2 linked regions of the Caenorhabditis elegans genome follow. The protein of the gene in region 1 purifies or fractionates together with the protein of each later gene. This does not show direct contact. Each region holds a gene or a part of one and is shown on either strand. Other genes may lie near its edges.

What was found.
Region 2: the proteins of cyb-1 (region 1) and cdk-1 purify together in Caenorhabditis elegans (affinity purification with western blotting, with the first as the bait; 2 studies listed by BioGRID). This does not show direct contact.

Annotation. Positions count from the first base shown.
Region 1 is NC_003282.8:10,733,484-10,737,800, reverse strand, and holds cyb-1 (G2/mitotic-specific cyclin-B1), read right to left. Parts: upstream 2,360-4,317; 5' UTR 2,346-2,359; coding exon 2,286-2,345; intron 2,244-2,285; coding exon 1,825-2,243; intron 1,746-1,824; coding exon 1,359-1,745; intron 1,313-1,358; coding exon 1,210-1,312; intron 1,166-1,209; coding exon 1,049-1,165; 3' UTR 628-1,048; downstream 1-627. Other genes in the region: grl-21 (Ground-like domain-containing protein), read right to left, coding at 1-308; orc-5 (Origin recognition complex subunit 5 C-terminal domain-containing protein), read left to right, coding at 3,223-3,366, 3,444-3,583, 3,626-3,962, 4,008-4,180, 4,247-4,316. UniProt on the Caenorhabditis elegans protein: Essential for the control of the cell cycle at the G2/M (mitosis) transition.
Region 2 is NC_003281.10:9,745,811-9,749,553, forward strand, and holds cdk-1 (Cyclin-dependent kinase 1), read left to right. Parts: upstream 1-1,661; 5' UTR 1,662-1,663; coding exon 1,664-1,843; intron 1,844-1,893; coding exon 1,894-2,100; intron 2,101-2,148; coding exon 2,149-2,304; intron 2,305-2,355; coding exon 2,356-2,682; intron 2,683-2,729; coding exon 2,730-2,858; 3' UTR 2,859-3,042; downstream 3,043-3,743. Other genes in the region: iff-1 (Eukaryotic translation initiation factor 5A-1), read right to left, coding at 98-163, 213-350, 469-621, 666-795, 1,243-1,343; T05G5.4 (uncharacterized protein), read left to right, coding at 3,130-3,183, 3,227-3,340, 3,408-3,510, 3,557-3,650, 3,706-3,743. UniProt on the Caenorhabditis elegans protein: Plays a key role in the control of the eukaryotic cell cycle. Required for entry into S-phase and mitosis. Acts as a component of the kinase complex that phosphorylates the repetitive C-terminus of RNA polymerase II.

The sequences.
Region 1 (4,317 bases):
CTATTACAGAACAAATCTCCACTTGAAGCTTTCATGTCAACTGATCTCTTTGACTTGGCTCTGTATGGTCCTGGTCCGTAGGATCCAGCATAAGATGGTCCAGCGTATGATGGTCCACCCGCATATGATGGTGGTGGTGGTGGAGGTGGAGCTTCATATCCGCCTCCGCATGGTGGAGGTGGTGGAGGTGGTGGACAGCAGCATTGTTGAGGTCTTTGTGGACCTAATCCTAAACCGAGTCCTTCTAGAAGGAATGCAGATGAAGAAGCAGTCAGTGAAAGAACAATTAGAACTGATGAATGAACCATTTCGAGTGGAATGTATGAAATTCTCGTTTTCGATGGTCACTTTTGTAGTCATTACAGCAGAGCGTTAGAGATTGATACGCAGAGAAATTGCAGCTTCATTATTACACATTTTGAGAAAATTCGGCGAGAAGTGACCGCCAGTGCTGTAACAAACCGATGAGTAATTGGCCGAAAAGCCACTTGACCCCGGGTTCGGCACACAGAATTCAAGGTTAAAGTGGGTGGAGCCTACTTGTTTTTATGCTTGTTGACTGGTTTAAGTTCGTCGCGTCATTGCGCAGGAGACCCCCTAGAACCTTCAGACTACTCCATCACTTATTTAGTACATGATTTATAGTAATTCCATTTAACAAAATTTAATAGCACATAGGTTTCATCAGAAAGTTTTTGGTCCTTCTAGTTACAACAACAGAGATGAGGACGGTGAGTCTTACAGCAGTGTGGTTTCAATAATTAAATACGAGATCGATACAAAAGAGGGCGCGAAAAGTTGTGATAAAAATTTTTAGTGAAATTTTAAATTTCAAAATGGACAAATTGAATAATATGGGAGGTGGTGTATGGTCGCTCAACGAATGTTCACCAATTTACAATCAATGTACGGGTGTGACCAGATTGACGTGGAAACGACTGGAGGAGTTAAAAAATGGAAAGGAGCCGAAAAGAAAAGCAATGAAGGAAGAAACATAAGAATCAAGAAAGACTGAATGGTACAAAATGTTTATTTCGGATCGAAGTGCTCATTCCATTTCTGATGCGTCCACTTTTGCATTCTGGCCCATCCGATTGATTTTCTCGAGTACGTCGTCGGTCATCAAGTTGGAAACTTGTGCAAGCTTGCTTGATTGATACTTATTCTGCAAATAATTATGTTTATTGGAATACTTCGATGATTCAATACCTTAATAGCGACAAGCTTCCCCTGTTTGAAGTTCTTATACGAGACTTCGGCGAGCAAAGCGACAGCATCCTCAATGACTTTCTTAGAGGCTCCGAGCTGTTTGCTAAAAATGTTGATATTAAAATAAAAATATAAGCTTTAAAATGTACCAAATGACCGATACAGCATTCTCCGCCTCGATTCCGTCAACAGGATGAACTTCAAGAGCGATGATCATCGAAGCAGAAGCAATGTGGGACCTTGGGGTCGAGGCCATAACCGAATCGAGCAGTGCGAGCTCTCCGAGACACTTGGAGATATTGTAAGTATAACAGAAAGCTTGATTATCGATTGGGCTGGCATCGTTTTCGGAGAGAATTCTTGAGAGACAGCGGAGGAAGACAAGCGAAGATGGGCAGGACAAGTCAAAGTTCAACGAGTTAAGGATTGTTTGCTCCATTGCCAAGATCTGCTTCTTGCTGTATGTGTTCTCAGTGATGAACTCGTAGTCGTGGATGTCTGGGAGGTAAACCTCTTCGAACTTGGAGGCAACGAACCTGAAACAAAACATTTTTAAAGGATACACAATTAGTAATCCCTATATGTTACGTTTTAAAATTGAATAAAAACTCTCACATAGCTGAAATTCCAAGAAGCTGAAGATCCGCCTTGGAGGTGACCTTCTTCTGAAGCATGCGATCCAGAATGAAGACAGTCAAGTGAAGTGTCTCAGGTGTGAGATGGAATCGAACATGAACTTGGACAAGCCAATCGACGAGAATGCGACGCATCTTGGGAGTGGGCTCTCCTCCCTCCATGAAGCACTCCTCAAGAAGATACTTTTTCTCGTGATGAACGAGATACTTGTATATGTCGTCGGCCATAGCAAGACATTTAGTCTCAGCATCCTGGAGGTTGATTCTCTGTGACTTTTGCGCAGTTTCGACTGGAGCTGGATTGGATGGCTTGAGTGCAAGAATCTCTCGAGCTTCTCTTTTCGTCTGAAGACCTTGCGCATTGACGGGCTTCAATGGTCCGTTTCCGTGCTTAGCCATCTGAATGATAATTATAGTTTTTAGTTTGTAAACACCTTGTACCTGGAGGCTATCCTTTTCCACATTATTCGATGTTCGTCTGTTGTTGGTGGCTCTTAGCATATTGAGGCCTTTCGCTGCAATAAACGATTGTTTGCAAGTTCCAAGAGATAATAAAATAAAAAGTGAGAAAGAACCTTTGATTGCTAGTAGAAAATTGGTAAGTTGAGAAATACTGGACGTTTTACAAAATCTGACAGAAAGGTTATGATTTTATCTAAATAGAACACAACGTGTAAATAGTTTCTACACGGCGAACATGTTAAGGTCACGTGAGGAGCCTATTAAGAATTGTTTGCACTAAATACAAGAATATCGACAAATGGGATTCGAATGTTCCGCGTGCAGCGATTGTCCAACGGAGCGCAACTCCCCCACACCAAGATGGTGCTTGGTGGTAGGAGGGGGGAATCGCGAAGGGTAATATCGATTAAATATGTCACCTAGGATGAATGAAGAACAGACGTTAAAAGATGAATTACAAATGAACCTAGAATATTAATAAAGCTCCAAAGTTAGGTATTTGATAACGATAAGCCAAAGAAAAAAAGATTGTTTTTGTTCAAGAATCGAATAATGAATAAAATGAACCGGTCTATGTGGCAAAGATTCAAATAGGGAAACCTGCGTTGGAAAATAATCGTTCCATTGAAGGTTTTTGCAAAAAATAAATTCTTGGCGCCGAAAAATTGAGGGAGATCCGATCAAAACTTTAATAATCGCAAAGTTTCAAGAGCAAATGATTTTATTTTCAAGGTTCGCGCTGCAATACGACACTCCGTTATTTCGCATCGCGCTTAGTTTAGCCAAGTAAACCTGCTCCATTGAATACCCGCCAACTTGAAAACAGTTTTTACTGGAAGAAAGTTTTTTTTGTTTTTATTTCAAGGCTGAAAAATCAGTCATTTTATCCATATCATAGTTTTTTATTTTTAGCAAAATGGAAAATTGTGAGATAAGACGTCTAAAAATGCTCTTATTTAACAACTCGCGAATTATTTCTCATGTCCACATTTTCGGAGAAGATGGAAGCGGAAGAAGTGAAATTGTTCGTCAACTTCTGAGAAAACCTGAAAACGATTGGGTTCGTGTTTTACAACTTCAATTTCAAAACAATTAAAAATTTCAAACAATTTCAAAATTCACAATCTATTTTTATAGGTTTGTGTGCTTGGAGACTTCCTCTATGCGGATGGATCGCTGAAATTGTTATTCGATTCACTGGCATCGAGTTTAGGTTTCAAGACTAGAGGTGACAGAGCTGAGAATTTTTGCGATAACCTGTATAAATATGTCCAATGGTAAGTGTATTTTCTTGTTAATTAAATTTTAAATATTTTCAGGCCAGACGAAACTAATAGAAAAATTGTCATTTTTCTTGATAATGCACAAGCGATAACAGACTATCCTCCTGTTCCATTACAATGCTTATTCGATTCTTACAAAGCTATACAAGAAATAACGATTCGATTTGTGACGAGTGCACCATCCTGCTTGAACCAATATCACATTAATCTGAGCCATCTTCCAGTTGTAGAGTTTCACATACCTGCACCATCAGTAGAAACTACCAAAGTTCTTATTTCTCGTGCAAATCCAAAAATCAACGCGCAATTTCTTCACGTTGCTTGCCAGTCACTGTTCATGGCCTGCAAGTCACCGAATATTCTTCTATCAATTGTAAGTTTTTTAAAAACAATGTTAAATCCATCACTACAATTCCAGATATCTGATGCGTGGCTAATGTATGATGAGCGGAGAACCGGCGATAAATTCGACTCTACACTGGCAAAAGAATGCCTCAATAGATCATCTGGAGAAAAGCTCGGGAATGTTGTCGGAGAGAATCTGGCCAAGGAGAACGAGAACAGTTTTGATGCCATGCCGCTCGCCATGAGGTATCTAAAAATACTCAACAGAAAATATGTAGTTCTTCCAGAAATTCCAGTAAATTTTTATTTCAGATATCTTCTCATAGCCGCATACTGTGCCAGCAATAATCCTCATCAATCAGACTGCCGATTTTTCGTAAAGG
Region 2 (3,743 bases), on another chromosome or scaffold:
TGCACTTGTTCATTGCCCGATGTTTTTCGAATGATGTATAAAAAGCGGGATGATTAAACTGGAACTGCTTTTATTATGAAATTGTATATAAATGCAATTATTCCTTGGTAGAAATCTTGTATCCGAGAATAGCCTCCTCTCCGCAGGCAGCAACGACTTGAACCTGAAAATCAAAATTTTCAGATTCAAAAGGTGGATGTCGAAATAATTACCAAGACGCTTCCTTCGTCTTTCTCGAGAGCCTCACGGATAGTGTTTCCCAAGTCTCCTTCTGGCATTTTGAGATCGTCTTTGAGCTCGCAAGATTCTGGATCCATGAGCGAGCAGAACCCGTCTTCGATCGACATGAGCTGAAAATTTGATCAATAACATTTTTTACAGCTGATTAACTCATTTTTCAAAAGATTTGTTTAACCGTCCAAAGTTGATTTTTTTGAAAGCCTTCTTAAAAACTAATTAACAACTTACAATGTACTCGCGTCTCTTGACGACTGGGACGTCCATGTTGTGGGTGGATGGGCAGATATCCTCAAGCTTCTTGGTGGTGAAAATATCGATGGCAACCATGTGAACCTTAGCATGTCCGTGCTTTCCAGTCTTGGAGGTGCTCATCTCGACGATCTAAAAAATTTCTAATTAGGAAAATTCACTGAATTATTTTTTACCTTGCATGGTCTTCCTCGGATCATGACGTGCTCGTTCTTGCGAAGAGCCGAGCATTGCTTCGGGAAAGTAGCAGCAGCTCCGGACTCGGCAGAGTCGAATTGCTCCTCGTCGTGATGATCTTCGGACATACTGCAACAAAGATTTATCAATTATTTTAGCATTTTCAACTAGTTTCCAACGAGAAATTCAAAAAATAAATTTGGAAAAAAAGGTTTGCAGGAAAAAATTGTTTTGATTGAGAAATTTGATGCATTTCTAATAAAATATTGATCTTAGCAAGAAAAACACTGTACAAACCTGAGAAAAGTATAGAAATCGAGAGAAAATCAAATGCGCGAATTTTTTTGAAAGGACGTTGTTTGGCTGCGTATCACAATGAAGAATGAGTCGCTACGCAGCCAAAAATTTGGCGCCAACTTCCATCTTCAGACAGAATCGAAGTCCTCACTTTTTTAGGATTTCAAGGAATCTGCTCTATTTTTTGATTTATCTGAATAAATAATTTCCTAAAAATGCATTCGTTGCTTACTTGCCAAATTTCGCTTTCATCATGTAAAATTAAATAATAAAAATTACCTCTCTATGGTCTTCGGGGCAGCAACTCTCGCCATCCACCCTCCGAAGCCAAGATTACGATTTTTCTTTGAAACTCTGTTTAGTTTTGTTGGAAGCCTCATAAAGTAGAACAAATCAAGTTTATGATTATTTTGAGTAGTTATTTTTATATTTTCCGGCCTGTATTTATTCTCTTTTCTGCACAGTTTTGCGTTAAATTTTATCATATGAATGCAATGTTTCACAACAATCCTTCTCAGCGCGTACTCTCCTTTTCGGAATAAATTGTCATCAAAGGTGCATGCCTTTTCACTAAGCAATGGTCTCGCACCGACTGTCCCCCCTTTTCGGCGGCAGTGGAAATGATTCAAAATTACACGCTTACGCCTTTTCTATCGTTGTATTACAATTGTTCTGACAAAATTCATTTCCAATTTTAGTTATGGATCCTATTCGCGAAGGAGAAGTGGCCCACGAGGGAGATTCGGTTTACACACTCAACGATTTCACGAAGCTCGAAAAAATCGGCGAAGGAACATACGGAGTCGTCTACAAAGGCAAAAACAGAAGAACCAATGCCATGGTTGCTATGAAGAAAATCAGATTGGAAAGTGAAGATGAGGTATTTGAATTTTGTAGCAGTTTCGTTTTTTCAAACAATAATTCTTATAGGGTGTTCCATCAACGGCTGTGCGAGAGATCAGCTTGCTCAAAGAGCTCCAGCATCCGAATGTTGTTGGATTGGAAGCGGTCATTATGCAGGAGAACCGGCTTTTCCTGATCTTCGAATTCCTGTCTTTCGACTTGAAACGATACATGGATCAGTTGGGAAAAGATGAATACCTTCCGCTCGAAACTCTTAAAAGTTACACATTCCAAGTGAGGAAATATTTAAAATCGATGTCTTTACAAGAATAATTGTTCCAGATTCTTCAAGCTATGTGTTTTTGTCATCAGCGTCGTGTTATTCATCGCGATCTTAAGCCACAGAACTTGCTGGTCGACAACAATGGAGCAATCAAGCTTGCCGATTTCGGACTTGCCAGAGCTATTGGTATCCCGATTCGCGTTTACACGCATGAAGTGAGTTTGCATTCATTCTGTACACCAATACAATGATTGTCCGGTTTTCAGGTTGTCACTCTCTGGTATAGAGCTCCAGAAATTCTGATGGGTGCTCAGAGATACTCGATGGGCGTAGACATGTGGTCGATTGGATGCATTTTTGCTGAAATGGCCACGAAGAAGCCACTGTTTCAAGGAGATTCAGAAATTGATGAGCTGTTCCGCATCTTCAGAGTTCTCGGCACACCGACTGAGTTGGAATGGAATGGTGTTGAATCACTTCCGGACTACAAGGCGACGTTCCCAAAATGGCGTGAGAATTTCCTCCGTGACAAGTTCTACGACAAGAAGACTGGAAAGCACCTTTTGGACGATACTGCATTCTCTCTTCTTGAAGTAAGATTTCTAAAATAGTACTTTAACAAGTAAAATAATATTTTCAGGGTTTGCTGATCTACGATCCATCACTTCGTCTCAACGCGAAAAAAGCTCTCGTTCATCCTTATTTTGACAACATGGATACGTCAAAGCTGCCAGCTGGAAATTACCGAGGAGAACTCGAACTCTTTTGATGTAATTCATTCATCATCATTTTTATTATTTATTCTCCCGTGCTTTAACCACCTATCGTCTTCCGTGTATTGTTTAACTATCACCATTTCAACTTTTTACCTGTACGATGATTATTTGGCCCTTCGATATTCATGAGTAATCTCTTTTTTCACACCGCGATAAATAAATTCGCTCTACTTTCATGCTCTTTTTTATTCAAGCACTTTGTTCAACGTGTAAATGAGAATAGGGAATTAAGAATTCATTATTATTATTTTTCCATTCTGAAGAATGATCGCTGCAGTGATTCCAATATTCGTAATTTCTCTGTCTAACATTTCGCACGTAAGCTAAGGTAACGAAAACTAATCTAACTGGAGCTATTAAGATTATTCTTGCAATTTTCTTCTTCCCATCGATTGTAGAATTCCTCGATGATCTTTACTGGGGATTCACTTATCGTTCGTGGTCTCCAATTGCACGTCAATTAGAATTGGGACCGGTAGGATATATCCCTATATATAGGATTAAATACAATTTAGAGAATAAATCAAAATAATTGTGTTTAGAACATTTACATTCATCACTCGAAGGTTTCTATTTTGATGGACAAAGCTGATCTTTATGAGAAGAATCAGTCTAGGAAAGATATTTTAAACTATTACCGGGAAGGTATTGTTTAATATTTATTCATTCTCTCGAATATCTGAAATTTCAGAAGACAAGGATTTTGAGCAGTATTTGAATTTTAGAGAAAATCGAAAAATGTTGCAACAAGCTTTTGAAAGCGGAACTTTGATTCGAAAACAAAAGTAAGATATTACATTTCTCTAACTTTCCAGCTGTCATTATAATTTCCACTTGCAGCTACCGTGCCCGGATTCACGAGAGAATGGTTGAACAGC